Linked DNA regions of Mytilus edulis. The protein of the gene in region 2 binds, or shares a complex with, the protein of the main gene of each other region. Links are inferred from orthologs where the notes say so. Each region holds a gene or a part of one and is shown on either strand. Other genes may lie near its edges.

Region 1 (10,750 bases), on a different chromosome or scaffold from region 2:
GAACATAAGAAAAAAACATATATTTTGAATAAATAGGGGTAAAAGTGTTGTAAATAGACTAGTCCACGTATGCCAACAGTATGTAATCATCGAATGTCGATAGACTATTGTATACCAGAAGAAGAAGAGAACCAATTTGATTTCAATACAGGTCGATGTATAACTTTTGCTTTGGTTCATTGAAGCTGTGGACCTAGTAAAATCACAGATTTATATTTCAATAAGATTGTTCTCGAACAAAGGAAGTAATTCGTCATCACAATTGTTATATATGCCACTGGACGAACACTAATTATCCCCAGGGAATGTGAATATTTTGCTGGGAAACTTTTGAGTATCAAAGTTTCAAATTAATTTCGGGATTTATTTTCTTTCTTGGTATTCAATAACAGAAAAAAGAATAAATTACTTGTTCGCTAAATAGGGGTATTCTTGTCAGATAAAAGACTTTTAGTTATATTTAAAAAATAGGGAAATATGACATTAAATTGGTTCTGTCTTTTTTTTAAACATCGTTAAAAAGATGTGTGTCTAAGGTGAACGCGACAAGAACCCTGTAATACTAGTACGAGAGTATAGCATGTAAACATTCCTTCTCAATAATATGGTTGTATTGGAAATCTTTTCATACAGATTGACAACTCATTGTCCGATATGCATGTAATATTTGCCACATGACGCCCATAGTTCTTTCTACCATCATCATCTTATTCTGTGATATTGCTGTAAACATCGATGGTTCACACCCAAACAAAATGGGAGTAATGGACCTTCAGAGCTTCTCCGTGTTATACACTTGTGAAATATATAGACGAAATTTCTGTATTGAAATGAATCTACATCTCACAAACAGGATTTTCAAATAACGATTGTGAGTAATCACCTTACAAACCAATATAAACGTATGGCAAGATATAACCATGAAGGAATTTAGTTTTTGTCAGACGCAAGAACTCATCACTATATATATCATAAACGTATACATATATATATGCATACAGTTTCAAATATTAAGAACAAACGGTCGATGTCGATAGTCTGTTTTCTAACTGTTCAGAGTTAGACATGTCACTTGTTCATTCTTGGAAGCCTTCATATTCCCCGTCTAACGATGGGAACTCTTTCTGATTGTGTTGACTATAAATGCTTGTATGGTAATTCTGTCGTTTATCTGTACAAGCGGTTGCATTTCCTCTCCTTTCCCAACAAACAAACGAACGAAACGCCACTAGTCTGATTTCTCTGGAGCTCATCCTCAATGGCTCTTATACGTCAGGAAACTTACATGTATACTAATAATGATTGTTTCATACTAATAATGATTGTTTCAAGAACAACGATGTATGGACGAACTATTATAAATTCGTCAATATCAGTTATGCATGACTAAAATATAACTTTTATTACAACTACTGTATTACTTATTTGGATTAATGACGGCTATCATGTTCAACATTGCACAAATATTATCATAGAATTTTAAAAAAAATTCTCAAAAATCCTCAAAAGAAATAATGCCTTAGCTTAGATAATTGATATTCTTTTCACAAAAAGTTCGTGTAAATGATTGTCAAATGAATTTAATTATGTAAGAATAAAATGTTAAAAAGAAACTAAAAAAAAAATCATGCATGTTGTATGTTGTATTTTTTTGTCAATTAAAAACTTTAAAATTGCAATAGTTTTATTAGCATTTAAACACAGCCAGATTTGAATACAAGTTAAGAAATTCCGGTAAGGTCAATGATATCAAACAGATGTACAATGGTATATCAAATTGGGTAATATTGCATTTAGTTTTTATAAAAGATTAAAACTACTATTTTTTGCTTCATATTTGAATCTTTACGCCAATTGCCGCTAAGAAAGTAATAAAAAATTTTCCTTTTATTTTTATACACTTTCGGAATTACGAATCTGAATTTTATTTTCAATTAATTTACACAATTTAATTATTGTATCTTTATTCTCATCGTGTATTAAATCTTAGTGTATTAACATCGTGACAGCATACTCTTTCTAATCCTTTCTGTTTATCCTTTCCAAATAACAACATTTATACCTGTGTACGCTTGAACTCACACCTGCGGCTAAATAGCTACAAGGTAAACGAATTGACCTCAAGCCGAGAAATATACAGTGACCTTTACAAAATAATATACACACTCTGCTCACACATTAGTTGCATTGAAATGATTATCAAAACAATAACGGCAAATAGAACTGAAATATTTTCAGTTCAATATCAGTAAAAATGTTCAATAAATATTTTATGAAAAAAATCTCAACAATAATTAATTAAATTTATTCAAAAACATTTACTAGAGATAATTTTATAAGAGTTTAATTCAATCAATACAAAACGGTATATGCATATTCATTTTCGTTCATTCTTATATTGTGGTTAATAACTTCGACCATTCGTCAGCTGTGCGCTTTTAATTACGTATATTGTCGATAAGCTATAAGAGTTAAACAGATTTTATTTTTTCCCAGAATTCAATAAATCGGGCTAATACGTCACGACCCACTCGAGAATTCAACCAAAAAAGTTACAAATACTTGATTTTCTCCGTTTTTAGAAGGAATATAAATTCAAAACTTTGCAAATGTGTTTTTCATGTTAAGATGAACATAATTAGATGATAAGTAAAAAATCGCGGAATTTCCCTTTAATATTTGATGATACATGTACTTATTTTTGTGGAATCATCATTTTTTTTTTAATTTTATAAATTCTTGATATTGTGGGTTGCCAAATTTCTATGTACAAATTTATAGACAATTTGTACTTCATTAAACACTTAATTTTGTGCTTTATCGATACCCATTTTGTCAAACATCTAAACATCTGAACCTCTGATAATATAATTTCCTACAAATATTAGAACAGACAATATGTGCGTCGTTGACAGTTCGTGTTGTTTCTTATTTTTTATTTATAACTGTTGATGTAAATGTCTTTTGGTTTTGTGATTCTTTGTCTACTTTCTTGTCTTTCGTTTAAATGCATACAAATTTAACGCAGAAATGATATATATATATACTTACGGTGGATTTGTCTGGTTTATCTTTAGAATCTCTGATATCTTTAAAACACTTTCTAACATCATCCGTTGTTGATTTAAACAAGCTCAGATCTTTTTTAGGATCTCTGTGTTCAACCTCTTCTTCCTCAGCATAAAACAATTTAACATCCTTAAAACAGAAAGGAAATATAATATTCAATAAGTTTAAGATAAACTAGAAGTACAAGTACAAAATTACTGCATTGCAAGCAATCTTTCTACATGTTCAAATCTTTAGAGCCTGTGTCGCTCACCTGACTCTACTTGGGTTTTTGAAATCATATAAAAAAAATATCAAAAATCACAACAGATACTCAAATAAGGATTGAGGCCAAATTTGGTTTAATATTGCATTCCATTGTGTGGTTCTGTAAAAGAAGACATTTGTAAGTATTTCTCATAGGGTCCTACGTTAAACTAAGTCCCCTGCTGGCAGCAATCTTGGATGATGGAGTTACAACACTTGGATAGCACCTCATATGGAACATGCATGCTATGTTTCATTCCATTCAGTGGTTCTTTAGAAGACTTTTGTATGCATTTCCAATAGGGTCCTATGTTACTGTGGATTCATTAACATTCATTGGGTACTAATTTTCGTGGATTTCATGGGTACAGGGGAACCACGAATTTAAATGTTCAACGAATTACAAATTTGCTGAAGGAATGTATGCAGACTTTTCCAAAACCACAAATTTAAATATCCACGAAAATGCAAGTTTTCCTCAATCCATGAAAATAAATGAATCTACAGTATACTAAATTCCCCGTTGGCGGCCATCTCGGATGATGGATTGGCTACAAAGAAACAACACTTGGTCAGCACCTCATAAGGAACGTTCATGCCATGTTTGGTTCCACTTCATTCAGTGGTTCTCTAGAAGTTCAAAATGTAAAAAGTTAACGATGACAACGGACAACCATGGATGCCAAGTGATGAGAATAGCTTACTTGGCCTTTTTTTTTAAATTTAGAGGCGATAAATATAAATATTATATGAAATTGGAATTTACTTAATATATGTCATGTGTATGTATTTCATATGTCCTTGTTTTTAAAGTTGGATTACAATTCTTCTTATATTTGTGGCTGTCAGATCTTTTTTGGGTCTACATGTACATGTCATGTCAAAACTTGCTGCGAGGTTTGATTAAGTATTTGGTTCTGGTATGGTTTCATCTGTAGCACCTGTTGGGTCTGCATCAGTTGTTTGGTCTTGATTTTTAGAAATATGAATAATTGATTTGGCATTCCCACCAAAAAAACATCATAGCTGTTTAAGATGACCATTTAGATATAATCACTTTTCAATTGGTGAATCAATTAATAAAAATTTACAGATGAAATAATTAACAAGCCATTATAACTGTCAATCAAATGATTATATACCAGTTAAACAGTGAGTTATGAAGGATTTTCCACAATACAAACTCACACACACGCCAATTATTAAAACATTGTTTATCAATAAAAAAAACAACATAAAAGTACAAACGAGAAAATTAAATATTGTCTGTAAATAGTAAAAAAATAACATAAGGACCTAAGAGCTACGGTTCCGCAACTAACAGACTAAACAAAGGCAAACTAGCCATTTTTCCAGCAACAACATTTTGAAGCAGCAATAAACTGTATGCTGCTGATACTTGGAAAGGATACTGGTACTAGGCGAGGTACATATAGTTGGTTAAAACAAGGATTTGTATAGTAAGTACTATACAAATCCTTGGTTAAAATATTATGAGTAAAAGGGCTTCAGAGAAGAAATTCTTTAAGAATCACAAAACGGATAATTTGCTGGTATTGAAATCGACTTTAAACATGATTCCTGTCTTTCAAATCTATGACAGCCTTTTTACATTTGTTGATGATTTCGATCTTTTCACATCCCCTGCTCCTCTGGTTGGAGAAGACTCTTTTTTTAAGCTTCTTTTCCTTTTAACTTCGACTTCGTGATGATCCTTGCTGCTCATTTTTTTTAAATTCGATGTGAATATTTCTCTTTCGTACTTAGATTTCTATGTACTATAATAAAACGTTACAGTGACTACACTCTAGGAGCGTTCAGTTTAAACTCAGTTGTTTATCAAGGTGATGAATTTAATAAGAGTTATTCTTCTTGCAACGTAATCAAGTTATGTATGTTGTCAGCACAAGAAACTGTGTTATAGTAGTCTCATATAGACACATTATTTCTTTAATTCATATATAATGAAAATATAAAAAACAAAAAACAAAGGAACATAACAACATTAATTACCTCAAGAAAACTCAATTACACAACCCAATGAATTACATTGATCAAGGAATACAAATCCTTGCATTGAAGACATTGAAGTTTTAACTCTTCGTTGGTAAAGAGGCACCCAGTTAAGCCAGTGCTTATCATGCAATTGACACTTGGTAACTGTAATCAAATATTGATAGTTTACTTATAATAGAGTAATGATAGTCATACAAGACTTTTAGGTGCAGCATAAAAAAAGTACTGTTCTGCACAGCTTAGTTAACTGACAAGGGTTCTTTTAGTTTAAAAAGTATTTATTAATGAAAAATGACAAGATAAATATTACAATGTTACATAAAGTTCATATATGGGATTCGGAAACAAGTTTGGAAAAACTTTTATAAATCTGTCTCTCTAAAAAAAACCAAAAAAACAACATTACGTGCCAACAGTATATTGTTTGTAAAATAGATATGTTGGTTAACTGGGTGCCTCTTTTATGGGTATCTTTATATCATTGATTTGTATGTTTGGTTTGTATTGCTTTTATATGGACACATACAGGTAGAAAAAAAATCATATACTGTAGTTTTATCACGTCTGACTCTGTACCAGCCTTTTCACGCATGATTTAAAAGTAATACTGAACTTTCTCGGGGCGGGGTTACATCTAGCTAGCTTAAAAACAAAGGAGGATGTTCACGAAGAGTTGGAATTGGCCCTAATTAAGATGCATGGTTTTTTCCTCTCAATCAGATAAAATAAAAGAACCTACAAATTTCATATAGAAATACGTGTGATAATGACTACTATTAACAAAATACATTTTTTTGCACCTTCCTTTAAAAGTTGACATTCCTTTAAAATTTACGAAGCTATGGTCTCTACAGAAAAAAATAAAATTATATATTGGTTTTTAAACGTGAATTTTGGTAAATTTTCCAATCCTTTTCATTGTTTTTGGCTTAATTAACCTAAAGATTTGTAAAGTACTCTAGAAATCCTTGATTAACCTTGACCAACATCCACGATCAAAAACGTTTTTATATCAATGAATTTTATTTCAAAATTGAAATCTTTTGGTTACAAAACATTTTTAATCGTAGTTGGTGTCCAAGCTTTTAGGTCTGAAAATTGCACACAGTTATTATATGTTGACAAAAACTTCCAAATGATGGGCTTACTTTGGAGAAAACAATCACGGTACTTATATGAAAAGAACTGATTTATTTAGCATTGAGGCTTTTGAAATAGACCAATTTACGCATCAAATCGTAACCTTGTTGGTTTTTTATGATTAAGTTGCCAATTAGACAACTAGTACTCTTCACAAGAGACCATATGACACAGTGAGAAATTAACAACTATAGGTCACCGTACGGCCTTTAACAATGAGCAAAGCCTATGCCACATAGTCAGCTATGAAAGGCCCCGAAATGACAAATGTTCGGATTTCGTTTTTTGTAAATCTGTTTTAAAATGTTTCATTTTCAATGCTTTAGTATTTCATTTAATTGCAACATTGAAAAAAAAATACAAACAAACAAAAATGTCAGAAATGTCATCTTCATTACAGCAGAATGCATTGAGTGTGTAAGTAAAGATAATAACTTTGGTTAGCTTGTTTGCTAGCTGAACCTAGCTGAACCTAGCTGAACCATGAAGTCATTATAAGGCTAGGTAAACTATCCTTCTGAAAGAGTAGACAAGTCCGACAGATAACTAATCTATCGGTCTGTAGGACCAGACTATACTCTAAAAGGAGGCCCTCAGGTTAGTGTACCTAACTTAATAATGACTTACGGTTCAGCTAGCAAGCAAGCTTACTAAAGAGTCTACATTTACCTTCACACTCATTGCATTCTGCTGTAACTGAAATAACTAAATACCTTCATTATCCTGTTTTGATAAACATCGTCTGGTATTGAGTTGTAAAGTCGATTAAAGCCAAAACTAATAGTATTGTTATACATATTCATATGCATATGCAAATTCACGGTACAACAATCTGATACATGTATTGTGGCATTGCACAACAATCTATATATATGGGAAGATGTGGTATGAGTGCCAATGAGACAACTCTCCATCCAAGTAACAATTTATAAAAGTAAACCATTATAGGTCAAAGTACGGCCTTCAACACGGAGCCTTGGCTCACACCGAACAGCAAGCTATAAAGGGACCCAAGAATGGCAAGTGTAAACCCATTCAAACGGGGAAACCAACGGTCTAAACTATATAAAAACGAGCAACCAGAACCACTCATGAACCAAATTAACAGACGACAACCACTGAACATCAGATTCCTAGTTCATTTATAAAATATGCAGTAACTTCCCAGTATAAAGAAGTTTTGCACAAAAAGCCATGCGCATGGTTATGTTTTTGACTATTTTATTAGTTGTTATTGGCTTTGAACTTGTTGTCAGTAAAGTTCTGTGATTACTCTTAGATCTGTACCTAGTGTCTTTTTTGTTGTTGTAGGATTGCACCAATACCCACGTTCGGTTTGTGCTTTTCTTACTTGTTTTTCTGCTTTGTACCAATCTGATGAGTTAAGTCGTTTCAACTAATTTTACAGTTTGTTTATATGTTGAACTGTTACACCACTGCCAGGTTAAGGGCGGGTTCTATATGTGTTTTTCTCAAGTCAGAAATCTGTTATTCAGTGGTTGTCGTTTTTTGCTCTATATCATATTTGTATTTCGTTCCTTATTCTAAACATAAATCAGGCCATTACTTTTCCTTGTTTGACTTGTTTAACATTTGTCACTTCGTGGCCTTTTATAGCTGACTATGCATAATGGGTTATGTCACTTGGTGTCTGGTGGAGATTTAACGTGTGTCAATTGAATCAATTATATACCATATCTTCTTATTTTTAAAATTTGATAGAACCGTCATTTTTCGTTTCTGAATTTTAAAGTTCTTCTTGCTGTCAATCAAGAAATCAAAAACCTTAATCTGTAAATCATTTCTGCAAAAATCCCTAGCTGAACTACAAATGTTATATGATTTTGATTAAAGTTAACGTTGCCGCAAATGATGAATTAAAAAAAACGGGTTTCAAAGCGGCACGGTCAATTAGTTTTTGGTCAGATAATATGGGAATTATGTATAGGGTATACATATATATCATAACCGTTCATATACTTAACTTTATTACCTACGAAATTGGTTTTCTTGAAGTCTTCATCAGAATGCTTATGCTCCATAGATAATTAATTCCCGTGGTTTTTATATAATGTAATTGCAATATCGAATAATGCAGTGATTTTTAATGTAAAAAATTATTTTGTGCATACACTCATGGACCCAGCAAAGATGGAGATAGAAAAGTACATGATCTGCTGCTGTCCTCGGAAATCTTGTGTCTTCTTTTCGCCGGGTTGCCTCATTGAGCGTTCATCTCGACTGCTTAAGTGTAAAATAAACAAATATATTTTAGTTACCATACATATCAAATCAAACATGGCTGTCAAAACTTATGACATTTATGAAAACATATACATGTATTATAAACCAAATATGACAGACGAGATTAAGAAAAAAATATCTAACCATGGGACGGTAACCCATGGGACCTGTGTTATAAACATAAAAACTCTTTAAAACGACACACATCTTTACTGTGACTTTAGACCTCTCCATGATTAGGGAATGATGCATTTATATATATTTTTAAAACATAAAGTCACAAGAAATCGCATGAGATTGTGTCAAATATTGATATAAACGTAAACTGTTTATACTTGAAAATGTGGAAAAGACCCTGCATGTGTCTATCATGCCTGGGATGTCGCATGTCACTTTTCTGAAATTTTATCATAACACTGGAATAAAAGGAATGAGCCCAAAGTATACCTAAGTCCTTTCAACTGCAAATGAACAAAAAAATGCAGACGGTAAAAATGTATATGTTTATAGATATTTATCAATAATTTCAATATAGGATGTTGGATTTAGATTCAGATTTCAGTGAAAGACATTGAAATTGGATGTAATTGTTTTTTTAGCCGATTAAAGTTAACAGTTCAGTGGTTGTTTTTTTGTTTTTATGTGAATATAACATATTTATTTTTTTTCTTATATATTCCGTATATTGATGGTATATTGAAGTCATACTAAAAACATTTTCTGTCTTCTATTTTGCTTAAGAAAGTGATTAACAATCTTTCTGATTGGAAAGAAGATCGGATAACACCACGAAATGTTGGTGTCTTTTTTAAAAATATTCAACATGATGTGTAATCCCGCGTAAAAATATATAAAATTAAAGTGAAAGTAAATGAAACACGAGTTACTTTCACTTTCAATGCTTGACACGCCCACCTCGTGAATAATAAGGAAGACGATATCGATGCAAATCGTTTCCTCTCTGAATTTTCGACACAATAAGTGTTTATCCAATTCAATGGTTACAGATAATTTTAAATATTACTTTGAAATCAACCAATATTTGAATTTTTAGAAACATATGCTTTTGCACATCCTTATTTTGTGTCTGTATGAAGCTTACGGATCTCCAAAAGGAAAAGTGGGTCACAACTGACACTCCCCTAAACAAAACGTCAGAGGAAGTTCTTGGTGAATGTCATACATGATACAACTGTGCAGGAGCTTACAATAATGCCTGGATATTCAGAAGGTTTCGTCGAAAAATTAAGGAAAAGATGTTATTGCTCGATTTGTGGCTTGCCAATGAAAAATCCCGTCAAGATAACAACATGTGGTCACCGATTCTGTGAGAGTTGTCTGCAAGAATTTCTAAGGTAAGTCAACACCTGTGGTTATTGATTTTGATATATATATGCATACTATGGAATCTGGATCAGCTGTGTTGTTCCAGAGATCTATGCTGAAAAATTAACTAAAATATTTTATTTTTCGGTCAATTATTTCGGAATTGCACATACATAATTTAGTCATTAAACTCCACATTCTATTTTAAATTTCTTCATATATTTCATGTACCATTTCAAATTATCTCAGTGTCAGAAACAATTTCTTTTCAAAATATGCAGTACTGGCAGATCAAATCAACAGCCTGAATTGTAAATGGATAAACTATTGAAATTTAAAGCAGAGTTCTATTTTTCACTTTTTTATAGAAAAAAGTTTTGAAAGCTTATTTTAATTAAAATTAACTAAAATATTAGTTTTTAAACTTGCCATCAAAGACTGGTTAGACTGTCAAGAATACAACATTTTTTAACCTGACATGTCAAACAGACAGAGTCACATACCCATGTTTGTTTAAAACATGCATGCAGCTGCTTTGAATATATTCTGTAGATTGTTGGTGCACTTACTGCAAATATTATTAGATCTCACTTTTTACTTATTTGATAGAAGGAAATTTTGAGCAGTGAGGAAAAAGGGCTCAATAATCAAATGCGAAAACTTTTTAATTGACAGAAATGGTCCGGACAAGTTTGTTTATTAATGAAAT
Region 2 (11,263 bases):
GTAATGTGTATTCAGTAACCAGTAACATGTAATGTGTATTCAGTAACCAGTACCCAAATAATTAACATTGAACAGTAGCTTTTCTACTTTAAAAGAATCTTACCAAATATAGAAAAGACATCAACAAGTAATAATGGAACCTCCTTCTTGAAATCCTGAAATCATAAAAGAAAATGTGTTTTATTATAAGTATCATTCCACTGTCATGACTGTGCAAATACTGATAGCTAAATTACATTTCATTGGTTGAAACTATCGCAAAAATGTTATTGGTTCAACCTTTGTTTTAAAGGTTTTCTAATGGTTTGATTCTCAAACTGTTTTTACTTGATATAAAAGGTCTTTTCTATCTGTTAATGAGACATTGGATAATTGGTCAAACCTCAGGATACTGGTTTACAGTTTGAGTCTTTAATATTGACCTTAGAAATATCGTCGCTGTTATACAAAAACCTCGTATCTAAGGTTTTGATTATTTTACACCAGGCAGTAAAAACTGAAATCTTTTTATCGATTATTTAGAATTAAATGTGTATGTTCCACTGTATGCGAAAATATCTGATCTTCTAACCAATAAATTACCAAGACGAGCAAAAATGTCTGCACCTATATTGTATTTTAAAAGCTTTTCATATTATTTCTAAGCTTTATTAGCTTTGAGAACCTAAAATTGATTCAGTAAACTGTAGCTGTTATGATGCCAGCTGCCGTGCCGTGTGTTTTTCTTTTGAGATACGATATTTTCGAACAACAAAATTTCTCACCAATCCGACTACACTTTTTCGTCACATGTCAGAATTCAGGTTAATGATTGGTTAGAAGATCAGATATTTTCGCATACAGTGGAACATACATATTTAATTCTAAATAATCAATAAAAAGATTTCCACAAAAAATTGAGATACGAGGTTTTTGCATAACAGCGACGATATAATTTTTTTCTTATTTTCTATTTCTTATAGCCTATGTATTTTCAAACCTGATATGAAGGTGGATTACTCACGCAGAGATCTGTTAATACTGATACAGCTTGTTCCTGTTTGACATGGCCTTTAGATACAACTGAACACAAGTCATAGAAAGCTTGCTTAAGTGACTTGGGTCCTGGAGTCCATAATTTGTTATCATTTACAAATGATTTACATTGTTTCAAGCTGCAAAGAAACAGAAAGAAAATTATTGCATTTCAAAATATATTAATAGTTGGAAGCTGGAAGTTAATCATGTTAAAAAATAATATCATAAGGTAATAAGTTTCAATGTTAAACTATTTCTGATTATTAAAAGCAGTATGTCCTGCACCTTAAGTATAGATTATCGGGTTTTCTCCACATCGATATTGTAAAATATCTGCCGTGAGACACAATGTGAACATTTTTGGAGAGTGAGCCCAGCTAACGAGATTAGGGTTGGGGCCCAAATTTGGACCCAAAATGAAGGTTGGAAAATCCCTGTATATATTTTTCTTACGATAAAAAATGTTCATGTCATTATCTATCATTATCTATGTTTTAGGTAATCATTCTCCCTCTGCCAAACTGTTTTAAAATTTTTTCTGACTGAAAAAGAAACTTTTTCTTCATCATTTGTACACGTTCGACTATATATTTTCAACTAAAAATGTTTTTAAATTCTGTCTGACCAAATGACTTTTTGTCTGACATTTTGTCAGTTAAACAGAGTTTGGGATGCACTGTAAGAATATTTATTATTGAAATTAATGTATGCATAACAAGTGATAGGGAATGTTGATTTGCACTTTACAATATCTGCGTAATTATACAAACTACATTAGGTAATCAATCAAAAAAGCAAGTCTTGTGGGTAGAAATGTCTGCTGTAAAATAACATTGGAATACCCTCATGCCTAGTCCGAGATTACTCTGACGTCCAACGGCTGTTTTGCCAGACAAGCTGGGGACGTCAGAGCTTGTCCCATATCAAAAAGAGGATATTTGCCTGTCCAAAATAGATGCGCTGCTTCGTCGCTTCTGGTGTCGACTAACGACATTGGAATTATATAAATCCAGTCTTCACGATGAACTGCTAAATTTACAGGCCCGGAGCTCAATTTTTGAAAATGTTTAGTTAGATTCTGTTGGCCTGTAGATATGATTTTTACAGGCCCGAGAGCAATTTTACAAGCCTGGGCTGCCAGGGCTGCCACTCAGCGTGAAGACTGTAAAATCAGGTCTCGATTTGTTCATTTTTCATTTATCACTTCATTTATGTAAGCTTCACCTACCTGCCACCCTTTATTTTTTCCATATTTAAACAGTTTTCACAGTGACCCATCAATTTCTGCATTTTGACTTTCACTTTCAAAGATTATCACGTGACCACGAGAAAAAAGTGATGATTTATGCAAATGACCATAATCTAACACCTCATTCATTTACGATGCAAGTAATCTAAATGTCCGAGAGCTTCCGACTGTTATTGTGGTTGGCTTCTAAATGTAAAAATACGGATCTATAAAGGAGTTGAAAAAAGTATAAATATTTGCATTTTTGCGTCTCGAGGTCATAAAGTCTCACGTAACTTGACAACCATTTGAAAATAATTGTAACCAAGTGATCCGCAGGGCGCAGCTTTATACGACCCCAGTGTGGTTGAACACTGAACAGTTTGGGCAAATTTGGTCACAATATTCAAGCTTGATACTGTCTGAATTTGGATTGTGATCAAATTTTTGACATAATATAGGTTTATGTCACAAAATTAATGTGGTCAAAGATCTAACAAATCTATTGCACAATATTCTTCTTAAAACTTTTCAAAATTTGAAAATTTTGAAAAAAAGGAATTCCTTAAAAAAATGGTAAACAACCCCCCCCCCCCTGTTTTAAAACCCCCCTTGGAGCAATAACTCTTAAACTCAATCCCATGCTTTCCTTTGTATGTATTGAACCTTGCAGTACAATTTCAGAGAGATCCATACACTTAAACACAAGTTTTGTCATGATTGTTTGGAAACTAGAAACATGCTTCTTTTTGGTCCTTTTTTGGCCCCTAATTCCTACATATTTTGGGTGATTAACCAAAAACTTAATCCCAGCCTCCCCTTTGTTATATGGTACATTGTGGTACAATTTCAGAGAGAACCTTACAATTACACACAAGTTATTGTCTGGCAACTAAAAAATTTCTTGTGTTGGCCCTTTAAAATTCCTAAACTTTGGCCCCATAACCCCTAAAATGAATCCAGACCTTTTACTTGTGGTTTTAAACAATGTGGTATAATTTCAGAGCAATTGAAATACATGTACACAAGTAATTATCCTGAAAGTAGAAGAATACTTGTTTTGGGCCTCTTTTGGGCCCTTAATTCCTTAACAGTTTGGACTATCATCCCCAAAATCAATCCCAACCTTCCCTTTGTGGTATTGACCCTTCTGAAAAAATTACATAAAGATCTATTCATTTAAACTAAAGTTATTATCCGGAAACCAATGTGTCTTTGGACGACGACGACATCATACCTTTATATGATCCCAAATTTTTTTTGGGGTCGTATAAAAATGTCTGAAACGATGGGTCACTGCGAAAACTGTCTGAATGTAAGAAAATAAAGGGTGGCAGGTAGATGAAACTTACATTAACGAAGAGATAAATGAAAAATGAACAAATTGATACCCTATTTATATGATTCCTAGGCCGTTAGTTGGCACTAGAAGCGACAAAGCAGCGCATCTATTTTGGACGGGCAAATATCCACTTTTTGATGTAAAACGAGCTCAGACATCCCACAGCCCCAGTTTGTCTGGCAAAATAGCTGTTGGACGTCAGAGTAATTTCAGACTAACTCATGCCATGCCCATGGTCTTCACTATTTTTTTAAGAAAGATTTTTTTTACTTGTTTCCAATTATTTTGTCTTTTTATAGGCAGTGATACATATTTTAAGTGCTTTTATTGTCTGACTTTGAGGTTTATCGTGTTTCATATACTGCTAAATTATATCAATATCATCACTAAATCAGAATCTTTGGTCAGTGATGTCCAGTGTTGATTGTTTTGGCTTTTGCACATGGACAAGATCAACTTTCGCTTTCTAAATATTCTCCGCAAATACACGGAATGCCGAGCTTATTTTGAAATTTAAATGTTATATATTTTTGTTTCTATAAGAAAGCATATACTGTCACAAGGATTTCATTCTTACAAGTCATGTTTTACTGATTTATCCCATGATTTAGAGTTCACGTCGGCTAGCACCATCGCCGCCATCTTTCTGACGTCAAATAATTTAGTCTCTAAATAACTTTCGTTGTTGTACAAAACATAAAACATGATACTTGAGAATAAAAATTAATAAAAATAATATATCTTAAAATTAAAATAGTAATAATTATAAAAACTCAAATATCAGTTTTACCAGAGATTAAATTCAAGATGGCAGCGCCCAGTGCCACGACAAAAATGTCAAAAGTCGACAAAAAATTAAAGAAAAAGCAGATGAAGTTTCGTGACATGTTAGAAAAGAATGAAGGGATACAAATTACTGAAACACCAACAAAGGTTTAACACATTAAGAATCAATTAGTTTAGTACTAGGCAGGTGTTGTCTGTAAAATGTGTAAAAAAGTGTTCTCTTCACTATTTACAGTTTTTAATATGAGGCAGGCATAACCTGTGAATGGGGACGAAGTCTGTATGTATTATTTTTTTTACCTCTAACATGATAATAAAGGAAACGGAAATACCGTAACGTTCCCGATTTCGGTTCTGTGGTTAGGGATTGAACTGTGACGTTGCTTAAGTTATGACGTCATATTCAATGTAAACAAAAGAAACGCTTCCATCAGGTATCGTTTTTTTCAAATCAAACAATTATTAAAAATGAAATTGTATTGAGTTCCAATCTTATATTTTACTAGACTGATACATATAATTTTCTTTTCAAAGTCTCGTGCAAACAAGACAGATTTCTGCGCAAATGCGGGTAAAACCGGAACAGGAACTAGATCTGAAAAAAAAAGTTAACGATTTTGAGTTCATTAGTAGAATGAAAAATTCGGGAAATTTTCCCGATTTTTTAATTTTTTTTTATTATTGATTTTTCTACCGTAATTGGGGACTTCGTCCCCATATTACACTTACAGTAGACAAATTATTTAGGAATTAAGAATGACCTGAAATCTGCTCCAATCACCCTTCTGATGTTAACATGGTAAACGTCCAGGAATAATATGAGGCAGGCATAACCTGTGAATGGGGACGAAGTCTGTATGTATTATTTTTTTAATTCAATCACGTTGATAAAAGAAACCAAAATAATATGTAACGTTCCCGATTTTGATTCTGTTGTTAGGGAATTAACTGTGACGTTCTTTAAGTTATGACGTCATATTCTATGTAAAAAAAAGAAACGCTTTTATCAGGTAACGTTTTTTCATATCAAACAATTATTAAAATTGAATTTGTATTGAGATTATATTTTACTAGACTGATAAATATAAATTTTTTCAAAGTCTCATGCAAACAAGACAGATATCTGCGCAAAAGCGGAGAAAACCGGAACAGGAAGTAGATCTGAAAAAAAGTTAACGATTTTGAGTTCATTAGTAGAATGAAAAATTCGGGAAATTTTCCCGATTTTTTTTATTTTATTTTTTTTTAATTAATTTTTCTACCGTAAAAATTCTTGGACATGTTTTGACCATTTAATATGAGGAAGGCTTTACCTGTGACTGGGGGCGAAGTCTGTATTATTTTTTTTTTATTCAAACATGTTGATAAACGGAAATACCGTAACGTTTCCAATATTGGTTCTGTTGTTAGGGATTTAATTGTGACGTTATTTAAGTTACGACGTCATATTCAATATAAACAAAGAAACGCTGTTATCAGGTAACGTTATTTTCATAATATGAGGCAGGCATTACCTGTGAATGGGGACGAAGTTTGTTTAAATTATTTTTTTGTATTTTAAATATTTGTTAAAAAAAAGATACGGAAATACGGTAACGTTTCCGATTTTGGTTCTGTTGTTAGGGATTTTACTTGTGACGTTATTTAAGTTATGACGTCATGTTCAATGTAAACAAAGAAACGCAATGCATCAGGTAGGCCTAACGTTTATTCATACCAAAGACAAAGAATGATTAAAAATGAAATATTGGTATTGTGTTCCTTGAGTTCCTATATTTTACTAGACTAATCAAAGTCTCACAACAACAAGACCGGAAGAAGGAAGTAGAGTTATGTGTTCTACACAGATCCGGAAATTAAAAAACATGTCAAAAAAAAAATTGAACGATTTTGAGTTCATTAGTACAATGGAAATTTGGGAAATTTTCCCGATTTTTTTTTTTTTTTTTTTTATTGAATTTTCTACTGTAATAGGGGACATATCAAACAATTATTTAAAATATATTTGTTGATATGTTGATAAATATACATTTTATTCAAAGTCTCATTCCAACAAGACTGGAATAGGAAGCAACAAGACCGAAACAGGAAGTAGATCTGAAAAAAAAAAGTTAACGATTTTGAGTTCATTATTAGAATGAAAAAGTCGGGAAAATTTTCCCGATTTAAAAAAAAAAAATTTTTTATTGATTTTTCTACCGTAATTGATGACTTCGTCCCCATAATATCAGATAAATATACAGTTCTTTGGGAAAATATGAGCCCTTTTTTAGCTCACCTGGCCCGAAGGGCCAGGTGAGCTTTTCCCATCACTTGGCGTCCGTCGTCGTCCGGCGTCCGTCGTCCGGCGTCGTTAACTTTTACAAACTGCTGGGCCAAATTTAACCAAACATTGCCATAATCATTATTAGGGTATCTAGTTTAAAAGTTGTGTCCGGTGACCCGCCCAACCAACCAAGATGGCCGCCATGGCTAAAAATAGAACATAGGGGTAAAATGCAGTTTTTGGCTTGTAACTCAAAAACCAAAGCATTTAGAGCAAATCTGACATGGGATAAAATTGTTTATCAGGTCAAGATCTATCTGCCCTCAAATTTTCAGATGAATCCAACAACCCGTTATTGGGTTGCTGCCCCTGAACTTGTAATTTTAGGGAAGTTTTGCTGTTTTTGGCTATTATCTTGAATATTATTATAGATAGAGATAAACTGTAAACAGCAATAATGTTCAGCAAAGTAAGATTTACAAATAAGTCAACATGACCAAAATGGTCAGTTGACCCCTTTAGGAGTTATTGACCTTTATAGTTATTTTTTAACCATTTTTTCGTAAATCTTAGTAATCTTTTGCAAAAATCTTCTCCTCTGAAACTACTAGGCCAAATTAATCCAAATTTGGCCACAATCATCTTTGGGATATCTAGTTTAAAAAATGTGTGGCGTGACCCGGCCAACCAACCAAGATGGCCGCCATGGCTAAAAATAGAACATAGGGGTAAAATGCAGTTTTTGGCTTATAACTCAAAAACCAAAGCATTTAGTGCAAATCTGACTGCGGTAAAAGTGTTTATCAGGTCAAGATCTATCTGCCCTGAAATTTTCAGACAAATCAGACAACCTGTTGTTGGGTTGCTGCCCCCAAATTAGTAATTTTAAGGAAATTTTGCAAATTTTGGTTATTATCTTGAATATTATTATAGATAGAGATATACTGTAAACAGCAATAATGTTCAGCAAAGTAAGATTTACAAATAAGTCAACATGACAGAAATGGTCAATTGACCCCCTAAGGAGTTATTGTCCTTTATAGTCAATTTTCAACAATTTTTATAAAATTTGAAATTTTTACTAACATTTTCCACTGAAACTACTGGGCCAAGTTCATTATAGATAGAGATAATTGTAAGCAGCAAGGATGTTCAGTAAAGTAAGATGTACAAACACATCACCATCACCAAAATACAATTTTGTCATGAATCCATCTGCTTCCTTTGTTTAATAGTCACATAGAGCAAGGTGAGCGACACCAGCTCTTTAGAGCCTCTAGTTTTACTAAAAAGTGGGGTTTTTTTCACAAAAAAATATATATTACAACTTATATCAGGGACTTTCTATACTTACTTACTTAGTATAGAAAGTCCCTGCTTATATTGACCCCTCATAAAAGGGATATTTATAAAATTAAGGGGTTGTTCCCAAACTGATTATGACTTGGATGGAGAATTGTCTCATAGACCAGATTTAATTATTCAGTTATTTCTTGGTGAAGAGGGAAAAATACTTCATAAATTAAAGAATTAAAGAAATGTCAAAGTACAAGTGATAAATCAAGTTTTAATAAATGTAAAAACCTACTATTTTATGTTTACAAAAAAAAAATTAATTACTCGCCTTAACTTTTCAAGCTTCGCCTCAAAAATTTGCAAATTAAATATTTTTTTTATTAAAATTTTCAAATTGCTTGCTCGCCCCAAATTTTGGAGTCCAAAAGTCCGTAGAACAAGAAATTAAACTGGTGTGGCCTAATATAGTTTGTTAATTTTCATTACAGATTATATGTGTTCACAATGGTGGACTTGACAATTCTGTGAGTAGAGAGGAAATTTCAACAGCTCTTGACAAACATGGATCTCTCATTGATGTCATCATGTTGCCAAAGAAACCATACTCAATTGTCTGCTTTAAAACAACTGAAGACGCAACAAAATGTTGTGAAGAGTTTAATGGCCTTGAGATGCCACCTAATGGGAAAAGAAAACATTCTGTTATACTTTATTTGTCATATGTAAACAAAGGTAAACTTTAATTTCTCTTTACCAAGGAAGGTTATATTACAGATTGATGGACATGACATAAATTCCTTTCTTGAACTTAAGGGAAAGAAGAATGCTGTTCTTCATCTCAAAGTCACACCAAGGCCTTCAAAACTGGCCTTAGTACAAGTTAAAGGCTCCCATAGTTTAGTTTGAGTGAAAATATTTGTTTGGTGTTGATGATACTACATTTCCAATTAAAGAACACAAACAATGGGTTTATAATATCAACATGATCAACAACCTTCAGTCAATAACAGACAATGCAATTTTGCAGTTACTGTTCTAAAATATAAAAAAAGTTCAGAACTGTAAAGGATTCATACAACCATGAGGCACATCAACATATATGCTAAATAACTTGGCAGGAAATAATGTGTTATAAATATATAGTGCAATCATTTTTGATGGACTATTTCTGGACCTTTTATTGCTGACAATGGGGTATGGGTTTTGCTCATATGGTGACCTATAGTTGTTAATTTCTGTGTCATTTGGTCTCTGTTGGAGCGTTGTCTCATTGGTAATCACATATTCTTATTCTCATATGTATAATAATTTCAGCGAAAAATAGACTGAGTGTGAAAGGGAAAAGTCAAGTAGTACACAAATGAAAAGTAATCTGAAGAAAAAACATATATGTTCCACAAAACTCATTATACATGTTATAGGGTCTTTTGGGAAACTGTTGGGTTGAAAAGATATAATTATTTCATTAAATGTTTGCTACAAAGAAAATCATTTAAGACTGGTATTCAAGTTTTCTGGGTGGTTAAGAATTGTTAAAGATGCACATTTAAAGAGAATAAATAGAAATCAAACTATTTACAGCTAAACTGATTTATGTTCATTTCTGTGGTCTTTGTTCAGGAAGGAGAGTATAATAACTGAATAATTTGTCTTGTTAATTAGAAAAAAATAAATCATTAAAATTTGTCTGTTTTCTCAAAAGCACAATTGAATTTTTACACTGTATGATTTAATTCAATCATTAAATTTATTACTGATAAAGGTTACTAAAAGTAGTTAATCGTACGTTGTACTTGATATTTTTTACTTGAATGAAATTTGGTTTATATGTTATAGTTCCATCCAATATTTTACCTTGTAAGGACCTACCACCTGGACTGATTGTACTTGAAAACTTTGTGTCTGAAGCAGAAGAGAATCAGTTGATATCCAGTTTACACTGGCAAAATGATAATCGTAAGTACAAGATAACTTCACTGTCTAAAACATCACATTAAAGAACCTGAACAGAATCAGTTGATATTGAGTTTTCACTGGTAATTGTCTAAAACATCACATTAAAGAAGCAAAGAAGTACTTGATATCCATTTTACACTGGCAATTTGATAAATGTAAGCCTTATATCATGTCACAGTCATACGAGTGAGAGGTTTAGCTAGCTATGACATCAGGTTTTATCCACCATTTGCTACAATTAGGAAATTCCTGTACAAAGCCAGGAATATGACTGTTGTTTTCATTGGATATGTTTGACCTTTTGAATTTGCCATTTGACAAGGAAGTTTCCAATTAGAATTTACCTTGGAGTTCAGTATTTGTATGCCCCCACCATAGTAGAGGAAGCATTAAGTTTTACCCTTGTGACCGTACTTACATATGTCTGTACATCCCAAAATTAGTTTCCAATATCTAACTTTAGTTTGCCTCAAACAAATGTTATGAAACTTAAATACAACATGTACAATGCTTAATTCCAAAAAAACACAAAACAAGTTTGAATTTTGTTGTTGTCACTTTTACCATTCTAAAGTTATGCCCCTTTACAAATGGAAAAATTGCTGAATTTTTTATATCTAATCTCTAACTTGAGTTTGCCTCAACTTAATGTTATGAAACTGATACACAATGCTTAATATCACAAAAAACAGATAGGGTTTAAATTTTGGTGGAATCACTTTTAGTGTTCTAGAGTTATATACCTTTACAAATTGAAATATTCTTTTTCGTTCTCTTAACTTATGTGATGAAAAGTGTACACAATACTTATTACATTGTACTACAAAACTCAGATTGGGAAGTGTTACTTTGACAGTTCTTGGGTTATGTCCCTTTATACCTTTATAACGTTATATGCAAGCAGGGGCATCATCTGTCTTCCATGCACACATTCCCCATTTATTGTTACTTTACTTTTTCTAAAACATCAAAATGCCAATAAACATCAAAACACATCATTGAATAAAAAGAATACAGTTTCCCTGTTTTTTGTTCTGTAGTTGAGTGCCTTAACCATTGTCCTTTGGTAATGTAAACTATACTGTATGATTGTTTTGAAGCATTTGGGAGAATTTTTATTTATTTTCAGAGATGAAGCACAGAGAAGTGCTGCATTATGGGTACGAGTTTAGATATGACATTAATGATGTGGATGCTGATGACCCTCTGCCTCAGTCTATACCAGCAGAATGTAATGAAATACTTCAGAAGGCCCTTCAAACAGGATATATCAATCACTTACCAGATCAACTTACAGTCAACAAATATGTTCAAGGGCAAGGTCAGTAGTAACAAGCATTATATTTCAGGGCCTTTTTCTAGCAGACTATGT
Region 3 (10,445 bases), on a different chromosome or scaffold from region 2:
ATGCATGATTTGTTTATCAAATGTGAATCAAACCTGAAAATTCGGTGTAAACAATATTTTTTTAACTCGCAACTCGACTTTCTTAACTCGCAACTCGACTTTTGTAACTCGCATCTCGACTTTTGTAACTCGCAACTCGACTTTTGAAACTCGCAACTCGACTTTTGTAACTCGCAACTCGACTTTCGTAACTCGCAACTCGACTTACTCGACTTTCCTAACTCGCAACTCGACTTTCGTAACTCGCAACTCGACTTACTCGACTTTCCTAACTCGCAACTCGACTTCGTAACTCGCAACTCGACTTCGTAACTCGCAACTCGACTTTCGTAACTCGCAACTCGACTTTTGTAACTCGCAACTCGACTTTTGTAACTCGCAACTCGACTTTCGTAACTCGCAACTAGATTTCCGTAACTCGCAACTCGACTTTCGTAACTCGCAACTCGACTTTCGTAACTCGCAACTCGACTTCCGTAACTCGCAACTCGACTTTCGTAACTCGCAACTCGACTTTCGTAACTCGCAACTCGACTTTTGTAACTCGAAACTCGACTTGCTTAACTCGCAACTCGACTTTCTTAACTCGCAACTTGCAACTCGACGATAAGAAACCCTCTCTTTTTTTTTAGCATATTCGTTTCTTTCTGTGAATGATATGACACTATTTTTTCATTCATTATTTGTCACTGGAAGTTATGCAGCCATGCGTAAACCAGTACACATGACATATGTTTTTGCGCTAGCTAAACAATAAAGAAATATTTTTAAATATATTTGATATGAATATTAAATATAAGGTCATCTATATATCTGTTACCTATCAAAATAGCAAAATACCAAGATATATTGATGTATAACATATACAAAAATTCGTCTAAAGTTTTGAACCGACTAGTAGAGGGGAATAACATACTTAACCCTCGCCAACACGGCTTCACGAGTAAAAGATCATGAGAAAAACAGCTCTTTGAATGCGATATAACAAAAAATTATGAAAACTGAACTAAAGATATCTACTAGACTATATATTCAAATGTTTGACAAAATATACCACGGTCTTCCCTAAACTGGAATCCGCTTGTATTATCGCCACACTCAAATACTTAAACCTCCAAATCATCTACAAATTCATCCAAGAGCATGCTTATATTTGTAATCAGCTGACATAAAAAATAAATCCAGTGTCTGCAACATGAAATATGAACTAGCACTGAAAAGCCTAAAAACGAGGCTCAAAGAATCAAGACTCGCCTATCAAAATTGCAAGTGACCGTGTAGCCATAGGAAGAGACATATATTACAATTGTATTATATGTCTCTGCCATAGGCAAACAAAAAATACTTACAAAAAAACAGCGAAAAACTGTAGTCGTACAACCAATCTTTCAAACCTATTACAACCAGCAGGCGCGGATCCAGGGGGGGGGGGGGGGGGGGGGTCCGGGTTTTTTTTTGGACGATCAATGCATTTGAATGGGGACATGTAGTTGGAACCCCCCTTTTTGTCCTGGGTTAGGACCCCCCCCCCCCCCTTTTAAAATGGCTGGATCCGCCCCTGACCAGCTACAAACAACTGTAGGACATGGTCGAGAACTGAAACAAATTGCCTCTGGTAATCGCCACAGCCATGTCACTTGAAATATTCAACACCATTCAATAACCATGTATATGAAAGAAAAAAACAATGTGTATTGATTTTTGTTCTTTTAAAGAAATATGATGTAGGATACTCACTGCCACATTATTACAGTCGTTGAGAGTAAAAGCATTACATGGATTCCAAGCATAAGCATCTGCTTGTCCATTAGGGTCAATTATATCTGCATATCTGTAAAAGAATGCGCAAAAATTCTGTTTAATTCTGTGTTATAAGACATGAGGCTCTAAAGAGCATGTGTAACTCATCTATAGGTGCATGTGCAACTTCAACAATGAATACTCTTCAACTGTGTGGACTAGGATGGAATTCATGAATTCGTGACAAAAATATGTTTTAGTGATCTTGTATTGCTGATTTTTTTTTCTGATCATAATTTCTGTTCATCTTTAGTTTTCGTCACAATTACGCAGAAAAAAAGAAAAGTTGTCTTTTTAGGGCAGTCACTCCTATCAAGAGTCTAATAAAGATTTCAGCAAAATTTGACTCATTTGTCGATCTGATCTTGTTGATCATTTTTGCTATTAAAAGTATCTATCTATCTTTCATAGTTTGAAAGATAAACATCAAAAACACAAAAAGTCGGTAAATATAGTCATTAATGAACAAGACCTCTTTCAGCAAGGAGTCAAAGAAAATTTCATCCAGATCAATTTGGTATTTGAAATGGCTATCTATCTGTAATAGTTTTCAAGATAAGGGGCAAAACACTAGAAATGGGTAATAAATTGTCACTAAAAGGCAGTAAATGAAATCAGGAGTCTACTAAAGAATTCGGCCATTAGACTTTTTTGTAGATCTTATCTGACTGATCATTTTTGCTATTTCAAGCTTCTATCTATCTATTGTAACTTATAAGATATATGACGAAAATGGGGGAAAAAGTGGTAACAATTGCCACTAAAGGTCAGTAACTCTAATAAGGTATCTTAACAAGAAATCTTACAAAATTAAGAATTAGTTCCCACCCTTTTTTGATTGAAAAGGGCAGATATTTCAGACCAAAATTTAAGAGAGAAAACAGAATATGCTTGAACTGTAATCAAATAGAGGATGAAAAACATAACCTTATTTATTGCAAAAAAATTTAAAATTATAGAAAACAACTATTTAATCAAGATCTGCGCCCTGAAAAAGTTATGAAAACCATTATTAGTTTAATTAACCCACAAAATATTGATGATACAAAAAATATATGCCATTACATAAAATTAATTATGCTTTGAATCTTTGTAATTTTATTCATTTAACCTTGATTTGATATTTTGTCAAACATGATATATATGTATTTATGTGATGTAATATCATGTTAATGTGGGGGAAGACATCATTAAGTCTTTCCACTTTTCTGTGGAAAGACTTATTGTTTTTCTTCTGATTATTATTTTTTTTTTCCGCCAAATTTTGTTCTTGCGATAAATGTTTGTTTCGCAATATGTCGCTTAGATATTTCTCATATGGTATCGTATAGTTTACGCGCTTTTAAATTTTACCCTGCTAAGCCGAACCATTTTCTTTGTAAGAGTTATCTCCCTATTCACTGTTTATCATCTGTGTGCATCTCCTTCGTAACAAAAAAAGATAGCGACAAAATTCTTTTTACAAATTGTTCGTTACATCCTCAGTAATTTTTGGCGCATTTGGAGCGAAGCGATTCGATGAAATTTTATAGGAGTTATCTACCTTTACAAAATAAATTTGTCGGTATGTTTATTTAACTCATAAACCGTTAACTGTATAACCCTGGAATGTTTTTATTTGAGTCCAATGGGTCCCAACTTAGAAAATGAGGTCAAGGTCAAAGGTCAAGGTCAAGTTCTAAATTGTGACTTTTGCTTGTTTTTGCATTTTCTCCGACACTTTGAGAGATACACATAAAAGAACAAGTGCAAATGTCAGCTTTATTGTAATGAAGATATGTTACATTTAGTCTTATACAATTAAATGGCATCTTATAGGAGTTGGTGCCCCTGAAATGTCTTGATATGAAGTTATTTGATTATAACTTCAATTAAGTTCATTATAAAGACATTTGACCTCATACAAAAGGTTAAGTGACTAATGACCTTGAAAAATGGCTACCGGAAGTGACCTTTAGAAAACCGGAAGTAGCTATTTTTGCAATTTCTTTCACCTAAAAGTACCCAGAATCCATATATTTTGTCATATAGATACATGAACAGATTACTGAAGACTAAAAATGACTTCCAACAAACCGGAAGTGGCCAATTATCTCCCATTCTACATACAAAAGTATATAGAAACTATATATTTTTGGAATCAGTGTGAAAGAAGCTATCATATGAGACCGGATGTGACATTAATTTCACCGGTAGTAGCATATTATCTCCCTTATATCACTCAAAAAGATAATTAAACCATCATTTATCGCATCAGTATAAAGAAACTACCTTCTTATCCAAATTACTTTAGTTTGGAAAGACTTTCAATTGTTCTCTGAACAATTGGTTTTTAATTATACTTGTATTGATTTTCCTGATTTAATAAAAACTTGTATCATCGGACGATTTCAACTACTAAACTTATGGATCTTGTGTTGCTGATAGTTTTCAGTTTTCTGATTTATGTTTCAATCTACCTATTTTAATTTTTCTGACATTAGACAATTTTTTTTTAAATCGTCATTAAAGGGCTATTACTCCAATCAGGAGTCGTCTGACGATTTTGACATTTTTTGTAGATCTTATCTTGCTGATCATTTGTGCTTCTTACCGTTTCTCTATATCTATTATAATTTCAAGATAAAAGATCATAATAGGCAAAAATGGAGAAAATAAATGATAAAATTCTTCGCTTTTAAAAGGGCAAAATCTATAGACATTAGGTAGATCAGCATTGTAAACTCGCACCTGCAAAGTGGAAAGGGATTAACATAAGTTGCAAAACTTATTTCACAATCCACTATAAATAAATATGTTTAAACTAACCATGTTCAAGAATATTGGACATTTCCAAGCGAGATAACCCTACATTTTTTTTTAATAAAAACTCTGATAGTTTTAAATTGCTCACCGAGATATATAATTTATTATGACAAATGATATCTCGTATGTGTATTAAAATTAAGTCTTTATAATTTTGGTAAATTGACATAACCTCGGTTTTGAATGTATCTGTGTTATTCAATTGTTCATTTTCCCCCCGAAATATATCATGGTCACAGTATATCAAATTCATAAACTGTCATTTTGATTGCATTTCAAAATGCAGTTGACAACAGAAAACATTGAGTTAAAAAAAAATCTTGATAATTAGATTGTTTCATCATTTTTCAATCTTATCTGCTATGGAAAAATTAACTGCGACGAATATCGGAATTTTTAAGAATTTTTTTAAGTCAAAGGTACAATAACCACAATAGTAACATAGGGAAAAAAGAAAAAAAGTATGAAGGCTATTTTCAAATGTCCATTGACAACAGTAAACGCTGACTTTATTTTTTTTTTTTTTTTTTTAAGTATCATATTTGGAAATCCTTCTTAAAGTTCACTTGCTATGGACATTTTTTATCACGTTTTTTGTAAAAAAAAGATATTTTAAAAATCATAACAGGGTATAAGTGTTTTCCGTTTACATCAATGATAACTATAAAATTTATAAGATTTATCTAAGACATAGCACGTGTACTGATTAATTTAAAAATTTAAATGTCCTTCATTCTTGTGTATGGGATGACGGACACCAAATGTGTGAGAAGTGAACTTCGTTTGCTATTTTCTATAAAGTTTGTCATGGTTTAAATCAATCACTAAATTCCAGAATCTATAAGAATAAAACACAGTGCATTTTTGAACAGATAACTAAAAATTCATTACACAAAAGTTTAACAAAAAAAAAACCCCGAACTTGCAAAACATTTCGGGCTTTTCTCGTGTTAATTGTCGAAAAAAATAATAGAACCCTACCTTACATTCAGGAGAAGAGGGTAGTTAAAAGTAAGATATGAGAAAATCGGAAGCTAACTGATAAAAGTGAAAAGTCAACAGAATTAAACTGTGACTTGATTGATGAAGATAACCTGAGTCGTGTGTGTAAGAATGCAGTCACGGATTGATTGGAGAAAAAGAAGACATGACTGAATGAGCCATGTAGATGAAAGGATTTGTGTCTTTTGATTTGATTAGGGACTTTCCGTTTAGAATTTTCCTCAGAGTTCAGTATTTATGTGATTTCACTTTTTTTTCGCAAACAGTGACGGTTCCTTTCCTGACATGAAATCAAATCTTATTGAGTCAGCAAAATAATTGTTAGACTCTGAACCATGTTGCTATAAATAAAAAGAACAAACTTACGCAGGGGTTCCATCCTTTTTCGCCAATGGAGTTAAATCAATTAAATGTCCAGAATCTGTTAGACAAGAACATGCTGATTTTTTAGTGCAACTCTTTGCTAGAACGTTCGAACTACATAGAATCAAAATGATACAAACACATGAACATCCAAAGGTAAATTGTAACATTTTGAATTAAGTCAACTTACACCTAAATCGTCATGTGATTATATTGATAATAGATACGAGAACTGAGTTTCATAGGGCTTTGTTACGTGATAACACTTTAATGTAGATAAAGATCTGAAATGAGAGCATAGGACGTTGGACTAATCAATTACTCGACACGTTTCGTTGACTTGGGTCTATATCAATAGAAAAATTCGTTATTTTGTTACTATTTTTATTTGTATACATAGTAAGCAAGTCCGGATCTTTTTCTGGTTTTTCTCGGTAATGGGCGGAAGTTTAAAATTGTGATTTCCGGTTAAATAAAAAGAAAAACACGATGGAAGACTTGAGCACTTTGAAGGTTTTTAAAATAAGTTTCTCCACAATCATAAACATAATGCGTTAAAAAAAATAATGTCAAAAGTAATCATGATAAAAACTATTCTCATATGGCGAGAATCGGGGGTCAATTTGTCATTTTGGGAGCATGGTTGAATGTTCATGGAATGGCAAAAATGAATTTGTATGACAATACACCTTATCGCTAATCCCGGCTGACCCGGCCGCTTGAACTTTTGACGTCAACAACAATCACTTTTCCATTGTGGCGTCAGATATTTTGTTTTATGACGTCAAAATTTTAGGGGAACCTGTGTGATTTCCAGCAATGGCGGACAAATAGCGATAAGGTGTATGAGAGTAGGTGCCCTGTACTGCCAGGTGTCAAACGGCCATTTTCGGTTATCGTTTACGTTAGCGTCAAATTGGTTGACATTTTATCGTGATTCATCAAAATAACCTTATTGTGATTCGTCAAATAACCTTATTGTGATTCGTCAGAGGTCTCATATTTTTTTATCGAGGGTGAAGCCCTGTGGAGGGTCCAGGGGGGGCTTTGCCCCCTGTAAGCTCCTGGGTTTAAGGAAAAGGAGATACTATGGTCAAATTAATAAAAAATAACTTGTAATTTTGGCATTTTTTTTTCAATGGTGTAGCTTTGATGTGTTACCAGAAAGCCTAAAAAAAATAGTTTTGAAAATGTGATGTACAAGCATAAATTTCAATCCTCTTGGTTCAGTGTCTTTTCCTGCAAGACACCGACTGTGACTGTCACATGTACAAGAAACATATTATTATATTTCATGAATAAATATTATAATTTATCATAGGCTGCACCCATACATCATACCATATTTGCATTTTGACTAAGATGTTTTTATGTGTAACAGTATAAATATTTACATTCTAATTATATTTTTTATGACAATCAATGAAAAACATTCATGGCTTATCTCCACTGACAATAAAACATTTACCCTTGTATTTTGAGGGACGAAAGTTATCATGCTTAACAGTAACACTTTGGTATTTTTGATAAGTAAAGTTCTATGTACCGTAGTTTAAGTTACTTGGTAAGAGAAATAAGCCACTAATTTTTCTCATTGGACCCTGTAATTGAGTACTTAAATACAAATATTATTATATCAATCTGATTTATTTGATTCTATTAAAACATGTTGTTATTTTCATTTTGTTCATCATCATCATCCTCATTATCATCATCATCTATATACATTTTTTTGATTGCAGCCTGCACTTCAAGCCTTACCTCCTCTCTGTCACTTAAACTTGTAAGAGAAACAGGCTCTGTCTGTACTGACATGTCTTGTACTTCAGTAATATTTGGAATAGGATTTTGTTCGTTTTTCATTCTACAATTTTGTTTTACTGCAAGTTTCCTCCTGTTTTAAGTTCCTATCCATGTTTCCACTGCTTTTGGTACAGTGAAACCTGTCCAAACCGAACACCCATGGGACTTTGTGTTTTGTTCGGTTTTCACAGGTGTTCGGATTGTGGAGGTAAACGGAAGTGGACAGCAAAATGATTTAGACACTGACGACGGACACCAAATAATACACCAGACGACGGACACCAAGTAATACAACAGATGACAAGTATTGTCGTGTTGGTTTCAATATAAAATAAAATAAAATATATCAAAAAGTTATTTTATAGATGCAGAAAAAACAATTACAATTTTTAATGAACAATAAAGTGCAAGTTCAAACTGTTAATCGATCTCATTGTACAGAGAAATAATTATCCAATGTTGTCTGACGTGTAGCTAGTTTGCTTTTTACAATCAAGTCCTCGGTCATTGAAATCATTTGTTCCGTTTGATCTAGGTAACGGCTATCCTTAGAAATAGAAAAATTGCGCAACTTTGTCAATAAATCCAAAATGTCAGTATGGTTCATATCGGAACCGGGTTGAACCTCTGTTGGAATGTCTGTGTCAATATCTTCGTCGGATTCGATTAAAGTATCTCCAGTAAATTCCCTGATTAAGTCCGTTTCCCACTCACTATCAAATGCTGATTCGGTGGCCAAATTGTCATCAACATCGTCAGCTTCTGTAATTTGTACACTCGGATCCCTTGACCTTAATTGTTCCACTAAATCGGCTAACGGTATGTCGTCATCCGGGTCTTCAGGCTCATCTACAATTGTTGGGGCCTCTAAGGGGAATCCCGCATCACGAAAACATGATTCAATTGTTGTGGATTTAGTTTCGTTCCACGACTTCTTAATCCAGTGAATGGCTTTTAAAACGTTTATTTCTTTGCAAAGTTCAGTAACTGTATTGCAGTTGTCAATTTGTGGCAGTAAATGTTTGATCATGTGCTTTCTATATCTCGCTTTAAAGGCACGAATAATACCCAAATCAAGTGGCTGTAGTTTAGAAGTCGTATTTGCTGGGAAAAACTTCAATTCAACATTACTAAGCTTTAGATTGTGCGAGTGAGAAGTTGCATTGTCAAGGAAAATTACGATTTTCCTAGATTTTTTCCGCATGTCCCGATTAATGTCCTTTACCCATTCAGTGAAAAATGTGCTATTCATCCAGGACTTTTTGTTAGCCTTCCAAGTCACAGGAAGCGATTTAACATCCAAATTGCGAAAACATCTAGGTTTATTAGCGTTACCAATGACTAAAGGTTTTAGTTTCTCGCCTCTGACACTACAACACAGCATAACAGTAAGCCTTTGTTTTGACATTTTACCCCCTTTACATTCTTTCCCACGCTCCGCTAATGTCTTGTCAGGAAGGGCACGAAAGAAAAGGCCTGTTTCATCAGCATTGAACGTATCCCTTGGGTCATAATCTTTAACAATTTCGGGTAATTTACTTTTAAATTCTGCAACAACGTTTAGATTCACATCAGCACTTTCCCCGCAAACTTTGAAAAATCCAATACCGTATCTTAAACGCCAGCTTTCTAGCCATCCATTTGAGGCTTTAAACTCAGGCAAATTTAGCTCCTTTGCGAACTCCAAAGCTTTTTCCTGTAAGATAGGTCCACTCAAAGGAATGTTCTTTTCACGAGCACCTTTAAACCAACGAAATAGAAGTTCATTCAAATCGAAAAATTTACTTGAACTGGCATGACGTTTCCTCTTACTTCCTATGTTTTCTTCGTATTGAGTACGATATGTATCTTTACGTTTAAGAATGTCACAAACAGTAGCTTTCCCGATCCCATACTTTAAACTTAGATCCTTTTGTGAAATTTTTGGAACTGCCTCCGAATCTTTAATTAAATCCATTTTGTTTTCAATAGAAAGTTCCTTTCTTGCCCTTTTAGGCGATGGAGAAGGTTTATCATTTTGGTCGAATTTACGTTTCTTCTTAGGAGTTTCCATTTTAACACTGCATTCGTGAACATGTACAAGCTAATTAGTTTATAAAAACAACTCACCATTAAATTAAAATTTAAATACCCTCAAGGGATCCTCTGCTAGCCTATGATTGTTAAATCACGCATGCATATTGTTGTAAATACTTACATTGTTTTGATTGCTATCGATCGATTTTGACAGGTAAATTTTTTATACACATTGACTAACGGGGCTTTAAATGTCGTTCGGAATTCGGTGTTAGCAGGATTCGGTTTTATCAGGTTAAATTAACGGTAATTAATAGAGAAATGTTACGGGACTTTAGAAATTGTTCGGTTTGATATGAAATTCGGTTTTATCAGGGTTCGGTTTTACCAGGTTTCACTGTATAACATTGGATTTTTTGAGACTGTCCATATCAGGACCATTTATACAAACATGCATATAGGCTACAATTTTTTCTTTTATTTCAAAAGAAGGGCCATGGGACAGGTATACATATGATTTATGGTAAAAATGAAGAGTCTGCTTTTAATTAGTTGCTCTATCACTTGAAAACAAGAAAATGAAAATCACTTAATGAAAATAATGTGTTGTCTGCTTGTACTAGACAAGACATTGCTCTCATTTTTTCATTTCATTG

The links.
Region 1: THO complex subunit 2-like (region 2) and THO complex subunit 5 homolog share a complex: the UniProt entries of both Homo sapiens proteins name them as parts of the transcription/export (TREX) complex. The link is inferred for Mytilus edulis from reciprocal best matches to the Homo sapiens genes THOC2 and THOC5.
Region 3: THO complex subunit 2-like (region 2) and SAP domain-containing ribonucleoprotein-like share a complex: the UniProt entries of both Homo sapiens proteins name them as parts of the transcription/export (TREX) complex. The link is inferred for Mytilus edulis from reciprocal best matches to the Homo sapiens genes THOC2 and SARNP.

What each region holds. Positions count from the first base shown.
Region 1 is NC_092349.1:68,572,292-68,583,041, reverse strand, and holds the start of THO complex subunit 5 homolog, read right to left. Parts: upstream 5,082-10,750; 5' UTR 5,042-5,081; coding exon 4,928-5,041; intron 3,199-4,927; coding exon 3,052-3,198; intron 1-3,051. UniProt on the Homo sapiens protein: Component of the THO subcomplex of the TREX complex which is thought to couple mRNA transcription, processing and nuclear export, and which specifically associates with spliced mRNA and not with unspliced pre-mRNA.
Region 2 is NC_092351.1:66,491,922-66,503,184, reverse strand, and holds the start of THO complex subunit 2-like, read right to left. Parts: upstream 4,245-11,263; 5' UTR 4,230-4,244; coding exon 4,165-4,229; intron 1,155-4,164; coding exon 1,004-1,154; intron 156-1,003; coding exon 104-155; intron 1-103. Other genes in the region: tRNA (carboxymethyluridine(34)-5-O)-methyltransferase alkbh8-like, read left to right, coding at 4,395-4,520, 8,424-8,667, 9,772-9,891, 11,021-11,212. UniProt on the Homo sapiens protein: Component of the THO subcomplex of the TREX complex which is thought to couple mRNA transcription, processing and nuclear export, and which specifically associates with spliced mRNA and not with unspliced pre-mRNA.
Region 3 is NC_092345.1:85,203,040-85,213,484, forward strand, and holds the start of SAP domain-containing ribonucleoprotein-like, read left to right. Parts: upstream 1-6,362; 5' UTR 6,363-6,459; coding exon 6,460-6,483; intron 6,484-10,445. Other genes in the region: uncharacterized protein, read right to left, coding at 1,738-1,831, 5,974-6,140. UniProt on the Homo sapiens protein: Binds both single-stranded and double-stranded DNA with higher affinity for the single-stranded form. Specifically binds to scaffold/matrix attachment region DNA. Also binds single-stranded RNA. Enhances RNA unwinding activity of DDX39A.